Coturnix japonica: one gene and its partners. The protein of the gene in region 1 interacts with the protein of each later gene in a biochemical or structural test. Links are inferred from orthologs where the notes say so. Each region holds a gene or a part of one and is shown in the gene's direction. Other genes may lie near its edges.

What was found.
Region 2: of the proteins of HSPB1 (region 1) and MAPKAPK5, one has a biochemical effect on the other in vitro, tested with the Homo sapiens proteins (4 studies listed by BioGRID and IntAct). The link is inferred for Coturnix japonica from reciprocal best matches to the Homo sapiens genes HSPB1 and MAPKAPK5.
Region 3: of the proteins of HSPB1 (region 1) and MAPKAPK3, one has a biochemical effect on the other in vitro, tested with the Homo sapiens proteins (2 studies listed by BioGRID and IntAct). The link is inferred for Coturnix japonica from reciprocal best matches to the Homo sapiens genes HSPB1 and MAPKAPK3.

Annotation. Positions count from the first base shown.
Region 1 is NC_029534.1:3,160,778-3,167,901, reverse strand, and holds HSPB1 (heat shock protein beta-1), read left to right. Parts: upstream 1-2,550; 5' UTR 2,551-2,730; coding exon 2,731-3,091; intron 3,092-4,023; coding exon 4,024-4,087; intron 4,088-4,224; coding exon 4,225-4,384; 3' UTR 4,385-4,546; downstream 4,547-7,124. Other genes in the region: SRRM3 (serine/arginine repetitive matrix protein 3), read left to right, coding at 1-4. UniProt on the Homo sapiens protein: Small heat shock protein which functions as a molecular chaperone probably maintaining denatured proteins in a folding-competent state. Plays a role in stress resistance and actin organization.
Region 2 is NC_029530.1:5,383,127-5,390,494, forward strand, and holds the start of MAPKAPK5 (MAP kinase-activated protein kinase 5), read left to right. Parts: upstream 1-2,990; 5' UTR 2,991-3,187; coding exon 3,188-3,223; intron 3,224-6,834; coding exon 6,835-6,908; intron 6,909-7,368. Other genes in the region: ALDH2 (aldehyde dehydrogenase, mitochondrial), read left to right, coding at 238-402, 534-691, 1,418-1,532, 1,962-1,994. UniProt on the Homo sapiens protein: Tumor suppressor serine/threonine-protein kinase involved in mTORC1 signaling and post-transcriptional regulation. Phosphorylates FOXO3, ERK3/MAPK6, ERK4/MAPK4, HSP27/HSPB1, p53/TP53 and RHEB.
Region 3 is NC_029527.1:1,010,448-1,017,888, forward strand, and holds the start of MAPKAPK3 (MAP kinase-activated protein kinase 3), read left to right. Parts: upstream 1-3,110; 5' UTR 3,111-3,331; intron 3,332-3,484; exon of another isoform or gene 3,485-3,571; intron 3,572-3,594; exon of another isoform or gene 3,595-3,813; intron 3,814-3,952; 5' UTR 3,953-4,044; coding exon 4,045-4,269; intron 4,270-7,441. UniProt on the Homo sapiens protein: Stress-activated serine/threonine-protein kinase involved in cytokines production, endocytosis, cell migration, chromatin remodeling and transcriptional regulation.

The DNA of each region.
Region 1 (7,124 bases):
CTGAGCCCCCCCACCCCAACCAGGAGCCTCCATCCCACCCCAGGAGCAGGGGATTGCCAAGGATGGACCAAGCGGGGGGTGACCCTGAGCCTGGGGGGTATTCGGGGGTTGGGAGATGGGGTGGGGGGTGGCTTATTTATTGGGGGGGCAGGGTGGGCGAGCACAGAGCAAGGGAACAAATCACATCGACATAGCTGGGTGGGGGGGTGCTCCATCCAGCGGTGCTTTTTGGGGTGTTTTGGGACTTTCTGAGCACCTTTCCCCATTCCATGCCTGGCTGGAGGGTGCGGTGCGGCCCCAAAGGAACTGCAGCATCTCACTGACTTGTGTCCCTGTGGCACCCTTGGGGACAGAGGTGACATGGATTATCCTGAGGCCCCAACAGCCCTGGGCACCACAGAGCCACCAATGAACAAAAAGCATTGCTGCATCCCCAGCACGGGGCCATGAGCCCAAGGAGTGGGCTGAGATCCCCCCTGACTCCAGCCAGGGCTTTGCATCTCCTGCCCCTGAAGAACAAATGCTGTCAGGTCTGGATTTGGGGTGAAAAAGGTCTGTTTTGGGATGTGTCTCACAGTGCTTTTGGGGTGGTCCTCACTGAGGTGCCCCCTGCACACCCACATTGCTTTGGGCACATCTGGGTGCGTGGTGTCCCCTCTGAGCACTGGGACCCCATCTGTGTCCCCCTGGCCACATCCTGCTTCAGTTCCTGACCCAGATGGCTTCATGGTGCCACTATCCCCAATAACTGCAGCCCTGTGGGATGGCAGTGGCTCCTCTCCTGGCACCATGGCATGGCAGTGGGCTCATTGGGGCTGGAGCATCCGTGCAGCCCTCCCTGGAGCTTTAATGAGAGATAAAGGATGGGGCCCACGCGCCCGCTTTGCTGACAGCCCCAATTCCACACCATTGTGCTGATTTTCCAAAAGAAAAAAGAGGCCCTTCCTGTGGGCAAACCCCCCGGCCCCGCTGCCGGTGTTTAATCCACATGGACCGTGTGTTTTCCGCCTGGCTGGAGGAGGACGAAGCGCTGAGCCCAGTGGGATGGGAGCACAGCTGCTGGGATTAACCCACAGCGCCGCAATGGGATCAGGGCTTTGTCCCTGCCCTGAGGGCACTGCAGAACTGGGGCATCCCTTTGACTCCAGTAATGCCCCTTTAGTGCTGGTGGGTTGTGGGGCTCTGACCACGGCCAAGCACTTCACGCACCCTGCATTGCCCTCCCCCTGCGCGGGGATGCTCAGTGCATCCTCCAGGGCAGTCCCCATCCCAATCCTAATCCCAATCCCAATCCAATCCCAATCCTAATCCCAATCCCAATCCCTATCCCAATCCCAATCCCAATCCCAATCCCAATCCCAATCCCTGACTCCACTCCAATCTCCATCCCCATTCCAATCCCCCCCATCCCAAACCTGTCCCCATCCCCATCCCACGGCCACAGCTCCCACAGTGACAGAGCCCCGGACAGGACAGCACATCAGGGAAAATTTCCAGTCTTCCTCTTTTACAGTCTCTGTCTCCTGCCGCGGAGGGAGCCAACTGGAACAAAATACTCTGTAGAAATACTTCAGTATTTTCCTCTCTCTCGCGCGCTCCCTTTTTCTGGATTGTGAGTACAGCTGTAGATTCAGTGAGCTGGTTCAATTATAATAAAATATACAGTATATATTGTAAATGATGCTGCGGGGCATGGAGCGGTTTCTTTGCATCCCTCCCTCCCACCCCAGCCCCTGGCAGGATGCAGCCCCGCTCTGCAGCTCGGCTGCTTTGATCCCTTTCCATCCTGTTTCCCAGACAACATGGGGCTCCCCCCCACCCCAGCCCCCAGCAAAGGGTTCAGCAGGTGCTGCTGGGGCTGGGGGGACACCCTGAGCTCCCCCTGATGAAAGATACTTCTCCCATCCTTCCTGTATCCCTGTCTGTGCCAAGCGCCCCACAGGGAGGGCTCTCACATCCCTGCACTGAGCACATCAGGGCTCAGATACATCCATCCCCTGGCTGTGCTGCCTCTTAAAAGCAAAGCCTGCACGCTGCAGGAGCTGGGCAGGAAGGGACAGTCAGCCCAAGGCCAGAGCTCAGCCCTGAACAGTCCCAACAACCAGCATCAGCCCTATCAGTCCCCACTGCCCCCATCAGCCACCCACAGCACCATCAATCCCTACTGGTCTCTACTAAACCCCAGCAGTCCACATCCATTCATGTAATCCCTCACTGACCCCCATCAAGCCCTACAGCCTCCATCAGTCCTCCTGACCTCCATCAGCAACGCTGGGCCTTGCTGACCCCCCCACCAAGCCCTATAGCCCCTATCAGCCCCTCTATCCTCCATCAACCCTACAAACCCAGCTCTAGGACCCCTCACCCTGGGGTGCCACATTTCTGGTGGGCTCCAGAAGCTTCTGGCCTGGCAGTGACGCAGCGGGCGCAGGGCTGAGCTCGGGCTCCTGCTCTGACTCATCCCCCCCAGCACTGCGCATCCCGAGGGCTGTTGACGGGAAGGGGAGGGCAGGCTGGGATCCATCCAGCTCCCATCCATCAGCGCCAAGGAGCAGCGCAGGGCGGGCAGCAGGGCTTGCGGCTGCGCGGGGCTGGAGAAAAGCTTCTGGTCCCTTCCCGGGCCCCGCTGCAATTTCCATTAATAGCCAGCTGCGCCTGAAGGCTAAAAATAACCGTGGGGACGGGTTCATAAGGCCCTACAGCCGCTCCACACCATCAACCCCGCACACCATGGCCGAGCGCCGCGTGCCCTTCACCTTCCTCAGCAGCCCCAGCTGGGAGCCCTTCCGCGACTGGTACCATGGCAGCCGCCTCTTCGACCAGTCCTTTGGGATGCCCCACATCCCCGAGGACTGGTACAAGTGGCCCAGCGGCAGCGCATGGCCTGGATACTTCCGTCTGCTGCCCAGTGAGAGCGCCTTGCTGCCAGCCCCTGGGTCGCCCTATGGCCGCGCATTGAGCCGGCAGCTGAGCAGCGGCATCTCCGAGATCAGGCAGAGCGCCGACAGCTGGAAGGTCACCCTGGATGTCAACCACTTTGCACCCGAAGAGCTGGTGGTGAAGACCAAGGATAACATCGTGGAGATCACCGGTGGGTCTGAGAGATGGGGTGATGGGGGTATGGGGAGGGTGTGGGGGATGTGGGGTGGTTGAGGGGATGTATTTGTGGTGGGGGAATGAGGAGAAAATGGAGCATGGTGGGAAAGGGAAGGAGAAAGAAAGAAAGAGTGAGGGAAAGGTGAAAGGGAAAAGGGAGAAGGGGAAGAAGGAAAAGGAAAAAGGGAAATAGGGATGGAAAAGAAAAGGGAAAGAAAAGGAAGGAAATGGGAGGAGAAAGGGGAAAGGGAAAGGAAAAAGGGAAATAGGGAAGGAAGGGAAAGGAAAAAGAATGGGAGAGGAAAGGAAAAGGGAAAGGGAAAGAGAGGAGAGGAAAAGGGGGAAAAAGGGAAAGGAAAGGTAAGGGGAAAAGGAAGAGAGAAAAGGGGGGGGAAAAAAAGATATAACAAATGATAAGCAAACAGAGAAGGAATAGGGTTACAAGTGCATTCCAGGGATGACTCATGATGTACACAGTGTGCTGGCTGCAGTCCCCAGCCCCACACCGCTATTGTATGCAGCCCACGGTAGGAATGTGATGCGTGCCCCATAGGGACAGAGGTGTCAGCGCCATGGGGCAGAGCCAGGCCCCACAGCACCCTGAGCATCCCTGTGTGCCAGGGAGGGGGCTCAGCAAGGGATGCTGTGAGGAAACACAGACCCCATGGCCCAGGGCCAGCAGTGTGCCCTGCCCAACGGGGAGCTGAAACAAAGGCGTTGGAGATGGGTTGGGTCCACCATCACCGTCTGTTTCCTACCCTTAAATTTAAGGGGTGTTCCTGTAGGGATCCAGGTGTCTCTCATCATTCAAGGCTGCATGTAGGGCAAGCAGGACTGCCCTCAACCCAGTGCTGATGGGGCAGGGAAAGGCAAACCCCAAGTGCGGAGACCCAATGGGTTTAACCTTTTGTGCTTTACTCTTTCCAGGCAAGCACGAGGAGAAACAGGATGAGCACGGCTTCATCTCCAGGTGCTTCACCCGCAAATACACGTAAGTACCAGGGTGGGGAGAGTGGGGACATCCAACCTGCCCATCCCCATCTCACACACACACTGGGGTTGTCATTGGCCCCAATGGGGGACGCATAGAAATTAGGGGATTTTCTGACCTCTCCCCTCTCCCCGCAGTCTCCCTCCTGGTGTGGAAGCCACAGCCGTGCGGTCCTCACTGTCCCCTGATGGGATGCTGACAGTGGAGGCCCCGCTGCCCAAGCCGGCCATCCAGTCATCCGAGATCACCATCCCTGTCACCGTCGAGGCCAAGAAGGAAGAACCAGCCAAGAAGTAGGAGGAGGCCCCGCTGCTGTCCCCGACACACACCCCGCACGCCTGCCCCCAGCTCCCACCCCCTTTGTATTTTTTACTTGGTACTCACCCATCACCCAGTGCCTTGAATAAACTTGGAGGAAAAGAGAAAATTGATGGGAATAAAAGTGATAGAAGAAACCTGCCCCGTGTCTGCTGGCCACATCCTACAGCCTATATGCCAAGTTTCACATCCCACACCCCACATCTGGACATGCCAGATCTCTAAAGTCATAGGATTATAGAATCGTGGGTTATCCTGTGTTGGAAGGGACCCATAAAACCCACTGAGTCCAACTGCTGGTTGCACACAGGGCCATGTCCCTGCTTTAACACCCTGGGTGTCAGCACTGTGGGTCTCCAGCATCCCAAGGTCAATGTCCTGGTCTTTCATGTCCTGAGAATCTGACATTTTGGGTCTCCAGGGTCCTGGGTCTCAACATTACACTACTCTACATTACTCCATTTGAGGTCACAACATACTGGATCTCCAACATGCTCCCAGGATCCAGAGTCCCCAGATTTCCAGATCTCCCATCTCCCAGATCTCAGCATCCCATTTCTCCTCCATCCCAGGTCCCTGAACTCCCAGATCTCGTCACTTTCAGTCTCAATATCTCATCATTCCTCCTCTCCAAAGCTCTGAGTGTCACCACCCCAGCTCTCAACATCCCATATATCCAACCTGCTGTATATCCCCATCCTGGTGTCAGCACCCCAGGTCTCTACATCCCATAAAACAGCCCCCCCCCCCCCCCCCCTGCAGCTCACAGGGAAGCTTGGGCAGAAGCTCAGGAGGTCAAAGCCCCCCACCCCACCCAGCAGCATGCCCCCATTCCTGATTCCTTCTGGGATGTGCAGCCTCCACCCCACTGTGCCCCCTCCCTTCACCCCATTGGGATGAATTGGATGGATGGGGCTTTGCTCACCTCCAACCCCAGCTCAGGAGCTGGGCACAGTGTCATGCTCCCCACACCCCTCCTGTGTCCCCCACACCTCCATGCAAGGTTCAGGGCTGGCCCTACATGGCCAGGCTACCAGCGGCCGCGTTCCTGCTCCTACAAATCCCCCTAATCCCCCCTGAGTCATCCCGGAGGCAGGCAGTGACCGGGGAGGAATCCTACAGCCATAGGGCTCCTCTATCAGCCCAGCCCCCCCAGAGCACTGGGACATCCCCCCCCCCAGGGTATGCGTGTGACATTATGGGATGGGTGGCCAAGGCAACCGGAGTGATGGAGATGGTTGCCATAGCGAGAGCAGCACCAGCCCTAGGGATCAGCAACGAGCATCTTGTCTTCCTGCATTGGTGGGGAACAAATACACGTCACCCAGTGCAGCACCACACCTGGGGGTGGCACCGTGTGCTGTCCCAGCCCCAAGCACCGTTATCACCACGGCAGCACTGTGCCATGCCCCAGGGCTGGGCACAGGTGGGGAGGCAGCAGCACAACCCCACTGTGTGTGAGTCAATACCCACTTTGGGTGTATGGTTTCTAAGGGAGGGGATTATTTTTACAGGGTGAGTCAGAGCACACCGTGCTGAGTGGAAAAAGCTGCCAGGAGGCAGGGACAGAGCATGGCCATGAACCAGGCACAGACTGTCCCCATGAGTTCCTCAGCCCTGGTCACACATCGGTCAAACCCTGGGCCAGGGGAAAGGACAGCACAAGGTCCCCAAGGCCAAGGGTGGGAAGGGGACAGTAATGGTTGGGGATGCCAACAGTTGGGAAGGTGATACCAGCATTGGTTGGGAAGGGACACCAAGCATTGGGAAGGGGATGTCAGTGTGGGGTGGGAAGAAGTGGATGCCAACAGCTGGGAAGGGACATCAGGAAGTCCCCAAGACCAAGGGTGGGAATGGGATGCCAAGGTTGGGGACATCAGGAGGTCCCCAAGACTAAGGGAGGGAAAGGGACACCACCAAGGGTTGGGGATGCCAACAATTGGGAAGGGGATACCAGCATTGGCTGGGAAGGAATGGGACACCGAGTATTAGGGACACCTACATGGGTTAGGAAGAAGTGGATGCCAATGGTTGGGAAGGGATGTCAGGAAGTCCCCAAGGCCAAGGGTATGAATGGGAAGTCAAGGTTGAGGACACCAGGAGGTCCCCAAGGCCAAGGGTGGGAAGGGGAAAACAATGTTTGGGGATGCCTGTGTTGATTGGGAAGGATGGGATCACCAACTGTTGGGGAGGCCAATGTGGTTATTAGGGACACCAACATGGGTTGGGAGGAGGTGGATGGTGATGGTTGGGATGAGGTGGATGGCAATGGATGGGATGAGGTGGATGGCAATGGGATGGGATGAGGGTGGATGGCAAATGGTGGGGATGAGGGTGGATGCGATTGTTGGATGAGGTGGATGGCAAGGTGGATAGGTGGATGGCAATGGTTGGGATTGAGGGTTGGATGGCAATGGATGGGATGAGGTGGATGGCAATGGATGGGATGAGGTGGATGGCAATGGTTGGGATGAGGTGGATGGCGATGGTTGGGATGAGGTGGATGTCAAACCACCCCCAGCCCCCAGGAAGTGTAAAGACGCAACAGAATGAAGCAGCGCTGACATCAGATCTGTAAGTTTATTTTGCTCAATGTACGACGGCTACATAATGACTCACATTCATGATATTCCATCACTGAGGAAAACTGCTAAGAATGGTCCGTGTGTGAAATAATTCCTTACAGAAACACGGAGTTGGAAAAATAATCACTGATTAG
Region 2 (7,368 bases), on another chromosome or scaffold:
CACCAGGTTAGAATCAAAGACCTCCTCCAGCCTCCTCTGAACTGTGCCCATGACCTCCTTGTGCAGGAGGGAGAAGTTAACTAACCATTCTGATTACTCCAACCCCCTGCTTGAAAGTAGCATTTAAAAATGAGGAACAGACAGCACAGCTGCATGCAATGCAGGCTGCAGTTACATCCCTTTTTCTCCCCTGACATATACCAAACTGATCTGCTCATCCTGACGGCTCTTACTTAGGTGGATGAAGAGCAGTTTAAGAAGATCCTTGGTTACATCAATACTGGGAAGCGTGAAGGAGCCAAACTGCTGTGTGGTGGCAACCCTGCTGCAGATCGTGGCTATTTCGTCCAGCCAACCGTCTTTGGTGACGTGCAGGACAACATGACGATTGCCAGAGAGGAGGTGAGGCCTGCAGCACCTGCCTGTCAGTTTCCTCTTGACTTTGTCCTTTTGCACCCCCTGATGCAAGACACTCGTATCTCTCCTGAGATCAATTTACAGTCTTTTTCATGTGATCTGCTTGGGTTTTGCAGATATTTGGGCCTGTCATGCAGATTATGAAGTTCAAGACAATAGAGGAAATAATCGAGAGAGCAAATAACTCCAAGTACGGTCTAGCAGCAGCAGTCTTTACAAAAGATATTGACAAGGCAAACTACGTGTCTCAGGCCCTGCGAGCTGGAACAGTCTGGTAAGCCTTGTCACTTCCTTCTCCTTAAACTGTCGGATGTATGTGCTCTCCTTTCCCATCTAACTTGCTGTTTGAAAGCCTGTGTCTGCTTTGGATCCTCACAGAATGTAATGTCTGACTTTCAACTGCAATGCTGATTTTTGGTAAAACACAAGAGTTATATTAAACTTCTGTTTTCCCACAGTGAATTAGCAGGTGGGATGGAGGGAAAAGAAGTCCAGTTCTGCAGCTGACAACGTCAGCAGCTGCTATAGGGCTCTGATGCCAGCAGTGATCAGATCATCGAGCACATCTCTACAATCTGGGCTGTATTCTGAGGCCATGTTGAAGATTATGCCAAAGTCAGCACTTTGCCACACTTTACTCTTTTAGCACAGGGGATTTTGGAGACCCAGCATCTCACTATTTCATTTATTTAAGTACATTCAGTGAACCTGGTATCATTTATTTTTAATCACACCTCCTTCAGAGCTGTGGGTAGCAACCCAGACACTTGGTTATGTGATGCAAGACGTGAACTAATTTCATGCTGTTCCGTTTCCTGGTCGATGAAGATAAGGTTCCATTACTGCGTAACCCTGTTGACCAAGATAACTAACAAATATGGAAACTGTGCCCAGAAATTCAGCCCTTCCTCTGCTGTAAACAGATAATTGCTGTGAAGGAGCTCTTCCATTACCATACTGGGGTTAACAAGAGGTTTTTAACTCTTGGTTTCCTTTTCAGGGTAAACTGCTATAATGTGTTTGGTGCACAAGCTCCATTTGGTGGCTACAAAGCATCTGGGAATGGGAGAGAGCTGGGAGAATATGGTCTGGAGGCATATCTGGAGGTGAAAAACGTGAGTATTCCTGTATCTGGGTACCTCCCAACACGTGTGAAATAACCACGAACAAAACTCTGTGCAACTCTGTTTAAAACAGAAAGCCAGTTCTGTTTTATACTGCTGAAAAGAACAAGGATATGTGCCCTGACTGACAGGTTACCTGCTGCCTGCACCACTTGGCACAGGGTAGCTGGCCCTCCCTGTAAATAACACAGGTGTGTTGGCTTCTCTGCAAGCTCACCTTGTGCAGACCAGAGAGAGCCTGTGCTGGGGATGCATGTCAGTTTATGTGGGCACATACTTACAGCTGCACTCATCACTCAATTAGGGGAATTCGAGTCTTGAACACCAACTTGTAACGCTGCTCTCCGGGATGCTGCCCTCAAGTGAACAGAACCAAACACAGCCTGCAAGAAAGTAACGTGTGACGTTTGTTTTCTCTAGGTGACAATCAAAATCCCACAGAAGAACTCGTGAAGGACAGCAGTGCTTGGAAACACCTATGCAGCTTCATGAGATACAAAGCAAGAAAACATCTTCCTTCTAACACACAAAACTTAAGCAGCAAACACGCAGCTTTGCATTAAGAAACTATTCTTTACAAAGGGCCTGAAGGAGCTTTTCTTACAAATCTTACCGGGCTTTATCTTTTTAAAATACCAAATACATTTACTTGAGTGCTAACGTGGTACATGGGTGTGCTCCTATCGCATCTGTCGCTGATGAACGTGTTCTTAGCCCCAGCCCCAAGTCATTTAGATGGTTATCAAGCCAGCACTGAGGCTCATAATAGTTCTCAGTGCAGCCTGAGGTGACACCTGAGGGAACAGCTGAGGTGACACCTGAGGGAACACCTGAGGGAACAGCTGAGGGGACACCTGAGGTAATACCTGAGGTAATACCTGAGGGAACACCTGAGGTGACACCTGAGGTACGGGCTGACTCCCAGCTGCCCCCCTCGCTCTCGTTCTGTACCTAAACACTCTGTCTCAGTCCCGCTGCCCCTACCTTCTCTGTAGCACAGTGTAAGCAGCGCCTCGACCACACGTACAATATGGCGCCGCCATCCCTCCCGCTCCTCAGCAGGAGGCGCCAACCGCGCGTCCATCACCTCGCGAGACTTCACCCCGCGCTCTACACGTCACTCGGAGGCGCCCTGACCATGTCAGGTCCCTCGGGGGCTTTGGATGCTCAGTGGCGCTCTCAGGGCTGTCCACCGCCCGCCTGTAAATCGCTGCGCCGCTTTGGCGGAGGATCCTAAAATTCCGCGGTGGGATCTAAGAGTCATCGTTGTGTTCGGAGCAGCCCCTCGCATCGAGTGTGGCGGTAACGAGAGCATCGCTGCGGGCTGTACGGCCCGGCGGGGCTGCCCGGCTCGGAGTGCCGGCGATGTCTGGCTCCCGGGCGGTGGCGGCAGCTCCCGGGTGGCGGCGGCGGCGGCTCCGTGGCTGAGCGGCGGCTTAGTGCCCTTGCTGCCTTCCTTCCTGCGGCGCTGTCCCGGCCCCCTCCGGTCCGGCCGGTTGGGGATGAGGCGCTGCGGCTCGGCCACAAAGGCTCCCCCGGGGCTGCCCGGTGCTTAGCGCGGCCCCGTCCCGCTGCTGCTCCTCCGGTCCTCGGCCCTCGGGCCCGTGGTGGGGACGGGCCGGCGGTTCCCGGAGCCCCGTGGGAGGATGTCGGGGGATCCCGAGATGGATAAAGCGATCAAGGTAAGGAGCGGCGCTCGGCATCACACGCGTTGGACACCGGTGGCCGCTTCTCGGTCATCTCCATCGGTTACCCGGGGTTGGTCGCTGACAGCAGCACCGAGGGATCCCTGAGCCCATCTGCGGGGTTGGGCGGGAGGAACCGAGGGGAACCAGTGGGGAAAGTTTGAAATAGGGCGCTGTAAAAGTTGTGGCTGACCCGCTCAAGGCAATGGAAGGATATTCGGGGTTATGTGGACGATGCCGTGTGTTCTGTGGGTGATGTGCACACAGTCAGTGCAGCTTCTGCTGCAGCCACCACCTCAAAGCACAGAGCTCACACCAACAGGCAGAAGCTCAATCAAACCTGAATGATAAACTAGAATCTGTGGAGCAGAGATCTCAGCAAAACGCCTGAAAGAATCAAAGGATGGTTTGAATTGGAAGAGACCTTTATGCCCCCCAGCCTCACCCCTGCCGTGTGCTGGCTGCCCCCCAGCTCAGGCTGCACAGGGTCCATCCGTGGCCTCAGGCACCTCCATGTCTGGGGCACCCACAGCTCTGGGCTCTCTTCTTTCTGAGTGAAGGATTTTCTCCTGACATCTGACCTAAATCTCCCCTCTTTTACTTTAAACCTATTGCCTCTTGTCCTGCCACTATCTGCCTGTGTAAAAAGTTGATACTCCTGCTTATAAGTTTCCCTCAAGTCCAGGAAGGTCCCTGGAGTGTTCTCTTCTCCAAGATGGGACTGAAGTAAGTTCTGTGTTCAGACAGATGCCTCAAAGCCAAAGTACTTTCCTGATTCTGTTCTTTATCTGAATCCCTCTGAGCTGAGAGGGGCAGGAGCAGAATCAGCGCTGTCCCTACACCCGTACAGCAGCTCTGATATAGATCTTTATATGAAATACTTAAAAACTGTTTTGAGAGTCTCCTGGATAGCTGCTTCAGCTGCACTGTGCTGAGGCTGACAACAAAGCAGGGAGCCAGTATATATCAGCCTTGGTGCTGGAGCTCGTGGTTAGGTTGCAGGCTGATGTCTGAACTCTGGGCTCAGAATTCTTCCCATTTTGTTTTGTTAAAATGCAAAACCCATGTCTTTCAAATCAAACTGATCTCCAGCAGTGAAGAACTGTGTTGGACTTCTCTTGCACTGATTATTTTTCAATAGAATGAATCACAGAATGGCTTGGGTTGGAAAGTACCTTAAAGATAACATAGTTCCACCCTCCTGCTGTGGGCTGATTGCCACCCACTATACCAGGTTCCCAGGACTCGGTCCACCCTGGCCTCGGGCACTTAGAGGAATGGGGCATCCACAGCTTCTCTGTGCCAGAGCCTCACTGCCCTCATGCTGAAGAATTTCTTCCTAATGTCAAACTTAAATCCCTCCTCTGTCAGTTTAAATCTATTGCTCCATGCCCTATCACTGTCAGAGCCCAGTGAACTTTGTAAAGATAAATCCTGCAGTGGCGAGTAATGGAGGAGGTTGAAAATGCCAACACAGGGGGTGTTTTTTGGTAGATCCTTTTGAAATTCATTTGTCTTACTAAAGGAAGCATTTATGAAGCCATCCAGGCTCTGTGACAGATAACACTGTACAAAGAGACTGCAGAGAGTCTTCGGCATGTTGTATTACCACCACTTGATCTCAGCCTGGATCCCTCAGTTCCTTCAGTTCCAGCTGGGCCAGGTCACCCAGGCAGCCCTGGGGCAGCGCTGCTGAAATAGATGTTGGTATTTTCAGAGGGCAGATTTTTATCAGGGTGTTTCAAATATTTCACTCTGTTTGGATGGGATGAGTCAGTGTTGATTTACAGCTCTGTACTGGCTCGCTGCTGGGTTTGGAGCTTCTGTTTCTGTACTAGGAGATGGAAGCAATATTGTGCATTAAGGAGAGTGTTTTTTCATTACTGGATTATTCTTTCTAAGTTATGAAGCTGCTTTTGAATGAAGGTTTGAATCTAAATAAAAATGCAGGGGGGAAAAAAAAAAGTTGGGTTTTTATTTAGAACAACAGTGAATGCCCAGAATGTGCAAGAGGAAATACTGATCTGCAGCCATTGAGTTTGTTCTTCAGGAGCTGAGAACTGCCAGATCTTATTCTCACTTCATCTGATTCTTAGATCACGCGCTGTCCAATTCCCATTCCTCTGCCTTGTTCTCCCGACTCAGCTGAAATGGGGTTTCACTCAATAATGTTCTTCTGAATTTGTGCTTTTGCTTGGGTTGTGATGCCTTTGGTTCTCTGTGTCTGATGGTTCTCTGTGTCTGAGCAGCAGGAAACTGAAGTTGGCTTTTCCCTTATGTGCTTCTCACAAGGTAGTGAAATTTGTGTTAGTTTAATTGATAGAAGCACAAAGAAGCATTGTCTGCTTTGTAAACAATAAAGCACTATAATCCTGTGTTCCTGGGCTTTGCTTTTTCCCCTTCTTTATTTTAAAACCCCACCAGAAATCTCCACTTAAAAACTACCTTTCACTTTTTCCTTTCAAGCTGTCATCCATGATCTATGCAATGTCTACTCCAGGTTACTTTTTCCCTTTATCTCTATCTTTTACACTCTCTAACCCCTCCAGCTCTTGCCTTAAGGATCAGTTTTCCTCTGGCTTTGTTTCTGACCCATGTGGCTTGAGGTTTGTCCGCAGTGTGGTCAGTGGGACCACAAGCTGTGGGTCTGCCTGTGCCTTCAGCAGCGCATCCTCCATTTGTACCATGATTGGATGCTGAAGTTCTGAATGAAAATTAATGTAGGCAGAAAAATCTGACCCCCTCAAAAAAAACTTGCTTCATGTGTGGTTGACTCTTCAATATTTTCCTAAGCATTTCCTTGCTTGTTCAAGCATCTCTGGAGTCAGCTTCTGCTACCACCTCCCTTGCTTGGAGTCGATCAGAAAGCAGAGCTTTTGGGGAGCCAATTCTGAGCACGTGTGTGATTTGTGACCCCAGCATGCACACACCGTTCTGCACCCAGTCTGCATTTTTCAGTGCTCCCATTTGCACCCCACAAACGTTAGGACATGTTTAAACGTGGCCACACCCGGGCTGTGTCATAAAAAAACCCCTGCCCTGGTTGTATGGATTTGGACAAAAGGATTATGAACGTGAGCTTGGTTCACTCTCAGACAAGCTAAAACGAGTCACGCAGCAGTTAATTTGCAGTATAATGATTCCAAAGGTTTGCAAACCTGAAGAAAACAGAAGAATATTTTCCATTACACTGTATGACCAAGAAGGATGTGATAATGCTGTAAATGGGCCTTTGCAATTGATCATTTGTAGGAAGAAAGCTGGATTTAAGGGCTGGGGTGGGGGGAGAAATATCCTTTGTACGCTTTCTGTGGTAGAGCAGCAAGATCCCATTTGCTGCTCTCAATAATCCTGCTTCAGAATGCCAGGGGGAGCAGCCTCAGCAGCACAGAAATCACCTTCTGCTGAGCTCTATTCTGTGAGCATTTGCTCTTAGGTTTAATTTTCCTAGGTGAAGCAGAACTGCAGAACAGGCTCTGTCTGTGCCCTGCTATCTGCAGATCAGCTGCTGAGCTGGGTGTTCGGGAAGGGCTGTAGTAATTTTGGTGGTTTTTGTTGTTGTTGTTGTTTTTCTGCTCTTTCCCCTCCCCCCGCTCCTTCTGGAATAGGAAACCTCCATTTTAGAGGAGTACAACATTAACTGGACTCAGAAGCTGGGAGCTGGGATCAGTGGCCCTGTTAGGTAAGGCAACGCACCTGTGGATCTGCACGTAATCTCAGCTGTGCAGAAGTGAGTATGTATTTTAAGTGTGCAAGGAGCAGAAGGCATGGCGGTGTTGAAGGAGCTAATAAATATCTCTGTGCTCATAGCAGATGTGTGAGCAGGGGATTGTCTGTTGCTGGTTGTGCTGGAGTAAAAATTCTGCTCACTGTTGCCATATTCCTGAAACCAATCAGCCCCAGGGATCAGCTGTGACCCGGTGGCACTGGGAAGTGCAGCTCAGGCACTAACGTCCTCCTGCTGCCCCATCTTGCTGCTCCCATCCCAGTGTCAATGCTGGGGCCAACAGCACCGTGTGCTGCTTTACCAGCTGCTTTTTCAGCTCCTCACACAAGGCCCGGCAGAGCGTGCACCCAGCACTGGGCTTCGTGTGGCTTTGTGACCACTGCAGGAGCTGGAAACAAAGCGTGCTCCCCTTTGG
Region 3 (7,441 bases), on another chromosome or scaffold:
CGTCCCTCTCAGGCCCGGAGCAGCGCTCATCCCTCCCTCTTCTTGTGGTGCCGGCCCGGCTGCGGGGAGCGGGAGGGTCCGCTCGTACCTAACGGAGCCACTTTGACAACCTCGTGCTGCGCTGCGCCCGGAGCCTTCGGTCTGTGCGTCCCAGCGGCGGAATCGGGCTCCACCTAGCGATATCCTCCATCTGCGGGCTGCCTGCGGGGCAGCGCGGTGTCCCCGTGTTGGGCGGTGGCTTTTCGTTGCCCTCCCCCGAGCGCTCTGCAGCACCGCAGCACCGCAGCACCACCCGCTGGGCTGCGGCTCCTGGGGCTGACGGCCGCCGTTCCATCCCTGCGCTGGGATCTCTGTCGGCGAGAGATTAATTAATTGCGCTCCTCTGCAGCAGAAAATGAAGCGCCATCTCCTGGCCGCAGATGAGAGGATTGATGACGCTTTTGATTCATGATGCTTCTAAGGAAAAACAAAAACGTTTTTGCATTTCTTCTTTCAGCTCAAATGGGAATCATAGAATGGCCTGGGTTGGAAGGGACCTCAAGGATCATCAGGTTCCAACCCTACTGCTGCGGGCAGGACCATGAGCCTCCAGATCTGATATTAGGGCAGGGTGCCCAGGGCCCCATCCAACCTGTCCATATGGTGTCCACATGTCCCTCTGCAGGTGCCCCGTGGCCTCAAACACCCCCATTGAGTGTCTGTAATGCAGATGCTGGCAGTCAGCGCAGCTCTCAGACCCACTGCATCTCCCCATAGCGCTGTGAGGACCCCCAGGCATCAGGGCACAGCATGCTGTAGGATATGGGTGGCCTTGATACAGCATTGGGTTCAGGGCTGGGGTTTGTAACTTATAGAAACCATATTATGACTTCCTCACTTTTCCTTTTTATTTGTTTCTGTTTTATTTTGTTTTGCTTCTTTGGGTCTGAGGCAGACACCTGCAGAGCAGAACTGAAGGACAGATGCGTGGGTCACATTTCAGAGTGCATCACACACCACAGCCCAACCTGGAGCTCACACAGCAGCTTCTGTTTCCTCCTGTGCATCGCTGGAGCGTCCTGCAGAGCTGCCCTTCCTCCCACAGCACAGTTATGCACACACGGCGCTTTCTGAAGAACTTCCTCAGAAATACACAGAGGATGCTGCAGCCTCACAGCTCCGTCCCCACTTCCAGCCTAACAGCACAGAGCACCCTCTGTACAACACACCCGGGGGAAGACTGACACCGATGGCACCCAGGGCAGGAAATGTCTCAGAGGAAAACATCACTCTGCATTTTCACCTGCTGGTGGCATCTTCTTTATTGCATTTAACACTGATTTCCTTGAGACATTGCTGTGTGAGGACCAACCCCAGCCCAATCCCTTTGGTCTGAGATAAACTCAGGTGACTGCAGCATTCGGGTAGGTATCATTGTCCCAACACCAGCCCCGAGGATTTGGTGACCCCAGATTTCCTCACTCTCCACCTGACAGCAAACTGAGATGTTTTGTTTTGCTTCATTTTTGTTGAGAAATGAAGTAGTTCAGTCTGAACTGGCTTTGATACCTGATATCGCTATTACCGAATTGTAGGAAAAAGGCAGCAAAAATCACCTGTTGAGACAACTGAAATTAACCTTAACCACCCAAAGTAACGGTATTTGAGCCATTAAGCTCTCTCTGTGCAGAGCAGGCAGCTGTGATACCCAGGAGCAGCAGCACCAGCTGTGTGCTGGCTGGAGCACCGAGGTGGGTGCTGCCCCACTGCTCAGTGCAAGATTGGGGCCTTGTGATTGGAGATTTTCCCTAATAAACTCTGCTCCTACAGTGGGGCAATGCAGACAAGCTGGGTTACTCAATTCCCTCACAAAATAAGGATGGGTTGGGGGTGGTTTTCGATTTTTTTTTTTGTGTGTGTGTGTGTGTGTGTGTGTGTGTGTGGATGGAACTGCTGAATCCCACCCTGAACCACTGATTGAGCACCTGGGGAAAGGACCCAGTCAGCCCCGGGAGCACAGGTGAAGGCAACTCAGCTGTGTAATGGGAAGGAGTGAAGCCTGGCTGCACCTCTCTTAGACCTCATTTGAGAGCTGATCCCCATTAGGGAAGGATCTTTGGTTGGAGGTTCCTCATCAGTGGAGTCTTTTCTGTGATCTTTGGAGGTGAGTGAGCATGAGCATCTTTACTTTTCCTTTGAAATCCCATTCCATTTACTTAGTCCCTTTACTGTCACACTCCTGTATTGCCTTTCCATTGTGTTAATCCTTCTGATGGCAGCAGTGTGTTGTTGCTGTTGGGTAGTTTTGGTAAAAACAGGATGAATATTTAATGTGCAGATTTAGGGATTTTTATGAGGATGAAAGAACTTAATGCCACAGAGGGCTTTTAGTATGTAACGATACTGTGGTTGTTTTTAACTTCAAAAAGTAAATATCCATAAATAAACAACATTTGCCTTCCAACTGGAAGCTGTCCCAGGCACTGCTAATCCTGGGAGGTGTGGTGGGGGGAGCTGGGATCCTCCTGTTAGGAGGCTCATAGGAGACCTCAGGCATCTCTCTGAAAGGAGGCAGTAATGAGGTGGGGATCGGCCTCTTCTCCCAGGTAACAGTGATGGGACCAGAGGGAACGGCCTCAAGTTGCAACAGTGGAGGTCCCTGTAGGATATTAGGAAGAACATCTGTGCTGAAAGAGCTGTCGGGCACTGGCACAGCTGCCCAGGGAGCTGGGGGAGTCAGCGTCCATGGAGGTGCTCCAGAAGCGTGGGGATGTGGCCCTGAGCTGGGAGGGGGGAGGGATGGACAACGGGACTTGGTGATCCTGCCAACTATAATTCCGGAGTGCTATGCTTCTGTCTGGCACAGCAGTACAATTTGTGCCCGGACAACCTACAAAGCTATGAAACGATCACAGGGAGGAAGGGAATGTATTTGCTTGCTCTGCCTCAGCTGCAGAGTGAGGCTGTTTGGTCCCTGGGCCGGGGCTGGAAAGGCTTCGTCGGAGTTCCAGGTGTGTGCAATTAGCAGCGGGCCTCATCAACCAGCCCCGTACGGCTCATCCGCGGGCGTAGGTCACAGCCCGGTCGGTGGCTCCGTGCTGCCCCGTGCGCCGCTGCGGCCGCTCCTCCGGGCAACAGCCGCACGGTCGCGCTGCGGCACCACCCGCGGCCGTCACGGCAGCCGCTCCTCCCCGCCGCTTCTTTCTCCTATTTCCGTCCCCCTTCCCCCTTATTTTTGTTTTTCTCAGGGATTTTTTTTTTTCACCTTCTTCGTCTCCCATCAGCTCCGGTGACACCGCGGAGCGCTCTGGTGCATTCCCGGGCACCATCGCCGCCTGCTGCCCCCCATCCCGTGAGTGCCTCAGGTCACCCCCACAAAGCACATCCCACCCTCAGCCCCCGTTTTTCCCCCCCGCCCCCGTACCGAGCCGGCCGTGCACCCCGCTGTCCGCCCGCTGTGCTCCCCTCGGGCCGGGCCCCCCCTTTCGTCGCGGGGGGCGGTGCGCACCTGCCCGGGGCGGACCCAGGCAGCGCCCGCCCTCCGGGACTCCGCGCCGGGAAGCGTTGGCCGGGGCCGCGCCGCCACGGGCAGGTAACGTCCTCCGGTGGGGTCCGAACCCCCCCCCCGAGCCGTGTCACCCGGCGGAGCGGGATGAGGGCAGGTGTCGGGCTCGGCGCCCGTCGTGTCTCCCTTTCCCCCGCCCTGCCGAGGGCCGCAGGTGGGGGCTGCCGGCACGGCGCTGGATGCGGGGAGGCCGCCGGGGGTTCTCAGCGCCAAACGAGGCGTCAGCAAACGCTGTGAGCGCGGGGCTCCGCCGAGGACTTTGGTCCCAGGTTTGGCACCGGCGCGTGTTGCGGCGGGGCAGAAAGTTCTGGGTGCGGGCTGAGAGCTCCGAGAGCGCCTCTCTGCTGCTGCGGGGGGCGCAGGGCTGTTCGATCCCGGCGGTGGGCGCTGATCCTCGTGTGTGTCCAGGACTCGATGGCTGGATGAGCGCTGTGTGAGCTGAGCACGGAGCGCACGGGTCGCCTGGAGTGCGTCGCGGTGGCCGCGGGTTGTCGCCTGCTATGGAACGCGATGGAGGAGAGCAGGAATCCCAGCCCGAGAGCCACGTGGAGAGCAGGAGCTGCGTGAAGCCCGTGCCTGGGGGAGCGGCCCACGTCAAGCTAGAGATAAAGAAACACTCCGTCACGGACGACTACAAGCTGTCCAAGCGGGTGCTGGGGTTAGGAATCAACGGCAAAGTACTGGAGTGCTTCCACAAGGAGACGGGGCGCAAGTGTGCTCTGAAGGTATGTGGGCTATTCCCCTTTATCTTGGTGCTTTGGGGTTCACTTAACGCCATGTTACTCTCCTGTTCTGCTGCTGACGTTTTACAAGGGGAGCTGCGTGGTGAGGGATTCCAGCCTGGAGACGCTCACGTTGCTTATGGGATAACAGTCTGCTTGTGAGTCTTTCCCAGAATAATCCATGTGAGCATTGAGGAGAACGTTAGAACGTTACAAGTGGCAAAAGCCTCGTGTTTGTATTTAAGAGACAAAGCGGGGAGGAGAACGTCTGGGTGTGTGCTGTGAGGAAACGTGCTGGATTCTGAATGAGTGTGTTATGCAACAGTGGGGAAGGAAGCTGCCTTGGGTCTCTGCAATTCAATAGGCCTGAGCTGGGAAGGGTTTAGGTGCTCGTTGGTTTTTAGGCTGCCTTCCCTTTGAAGACCTTCTGCAGGGCCCTGCTCGATGTCACAGGTGCCTGACTTTGGAAGGATCGCTCTTGGTGTTGGAAGGAGCGCTTCCACTTCACTCTATTCTCCTCTTTATCTTTGTAATCTGTTTCCAGAAGGGCACCGCCTGGGAGAGCACAGGTAATGGCAGTACTGGCAGGTAGCTGTGAACTGAAAGTGAGTGTTTGTAGTGATAAACACAAGTACACAGACCGTTAACTCAGGAACATTAAACTCACTTGCCTTCTGGCTTCTAACCTCGAGGTTTCCTTGATGATTTTAGACCACGTGGCTCAAAATCCAATGAGAAATAAATGGCCCAAATGCAAAGCACGTTTGTGCTGTACAGCAGGACTGAAAACAGCTGAAGCAAATGTTGTGGGAATGACATGGTGGCATTGCTGAGTTCTTGCTGCAGTTTACCTGATTAGTTAAGGTGCTTGAGGGGTGCATTTGTTTCTTAAGCCTCAATAAACACCTGGTTGCAGCTGGAAGCCAAGGGCTGCATGTGGCCTTACCTCAGTCAGGTTAGAGCTGTAGTTTGGCACAGTCCTTGCTGTGTGGTGGCAGACTGGAAATACTTGGAAACAAAAAAACAACCCAAAATTGGGCAGATAAACTAGAAAAACTTGTCACAAGGTGCTGATTAATGGCTGCATTTCCAATGCTCTCATTTTTTCTTTATCGCTGCTTTTGTGCTCTCTGCACATAACTGACTCACCTGAGTTTATCGTGGAGGGAATGGGAAGTTCTGGCCCATAGAATGGGCAGTGCTGGGGCTTTGCACCTACCTGGGGTTTGTGGCTCTGAGGTGCAATTCTTCACTTAGATCCTTCTGCTGAAGTATTCTGCACCAAGTGAGTGAAATTGAGGTGCTTTCAACATAACTTCCATACCCGGCGTTCTGCACTGAAGGATGGATGAAGGCTTTCAGAGAAGTTTCTCTGTTGTTTCTTGTGAAACCTGGGCAGGGCCATTGCATTCCCCAGCACCAGGTGAGACTTCACAGCACAGCGTCTGGTCACAACGCTTATTATAAATTAAAAAGGGAACTTGGAAAATGTTTTTCTCAGAAGCAACTTGTGTGTGGTTGTGTAGGGATGACAGGGCTGTGGTGCTCTGGCCTTGCTTGTGCCAATGGGTTCGCTGACATCCAGATGCAGGTATGGGAAGTGAAGGCTGCTGCAGCCTGATCTCACAGGTGGAGAGGATGGACAGGCTGTGCTGCAAGTCAAGCAGGAGGGGGGAAAATGTACTGAGTGACTTTCTTTTTTAAGGTTTTTATATATTCCCTGGGGGCTGTTTGTGCAGCATCCATTGGTATCTGTGTTTGAGGAGAGATAGTGCTGGTGAGGAGGAGCTCACTGGAACATGCTCCTGGGAAGAGAATTGCATCGTTTGTGCTGCTGGAGATGGAGTGTGATAGTCTGTTCCCCTTCACACCATGCTTGTCCATTAAAGAAGCTTCTGACTTGGCAGATGGCATTGCTTTCTGCCTGCAGGTTTTCTTTCATGTGGGAACAAAGCCAGCGCAGCCGGGGTCTGGATAGAAATTACTCAATGGAAGGAATTTTAACTGAGGTACTCGAGAGGAAAGGGCTCAAATAGGCAAAAATGCTCCTTCCCAGAGCCATGTGTCAGTCCAGCTCTACACGCTGTAATGGGAGGTCCCTGCTGTCAGCTTTCATCTGTGCCCATAATCAGAGCTAGTTAGAATGCCAGTAATCACTTTAGAGCAGGAAAATTCAGGACAGCCTCTCAGAGATCCTGCAGGGCTGTGGTTGTGTTCTTGAAGCATTCCATGGCTTAGCTGCCTCTGCTCGGCGTTGGGATTTGCTATGTGCTTTTAAAATGTGTTGTCAGCTTTGTTCTGCTGGACTGAAATGCCACATTCATTGCTGTCCTGCTGCGAAAAACCTGAGCTGGTTACCATCACAGGCACAGGGACGTTTTGGATGAGCAGCACTGCTTCCAGAAGGGCAGGAGCATAAACAGAGTGGGTCTGCAGGACCAGAAATGACCTTCCAGAGGGCAGCTGTGTTTTCGTTTCTTCCTTGCAAGTAGAAAACATCAGGTCTCTTTCCATCTCCAATCCAGAAACAGCAGCCAAGTAAAATGCAGTTACCTTTATTTCTGGCTTTTCTTTACCAGCCTTCTCCTTTTTGTTCACTTTACCTTGTGCTGTTACACAGTGTAACCTCCACTACTTTACTTCTGTACCCAATCTGAGTGTTCTGTTCTGTTCCTCCCACTGGGTGAGGGGCAGACCTGAGTGCTGGGCTGCCTGCATGGGTCACTTGCCTTCCCATGAAGATCATCCATCACTTTGTTCTTTCCTGGTTCTGCTCCCTCATTTCTTAATCTTTATTTGTACAAAGTCACGCTGGGCAGTGTCAATTTCAATGCATTTGACCTACCTTATCTTAAAGGAAGGTGGCAGGCAGGGCTCTGACAGAGTTGGCATCAAGAAGGGAGAGATAGAGACTGTTGTGCTGTGTGGCATTGGCGTGTTCTGCATTTGCCCCTTCCAGGGTTTGTTGGATGGTTCAGGATGTGAAACGTGTTGTGTATTGTTGGCATGTTATTCAGCTTCAATAAACAGATGTTGCTGCTTTTCAGGGGAGGAAAAGGGAAGGACTGCCTGGACACAGCAGCAAAGCAAAGATCTTTGGAGCTTCAGGATAACTAAGTACCTTGTTTTGGGAGTATTTGGGTCTTTATGCTAGGACAACTTTCAAGAATAACAT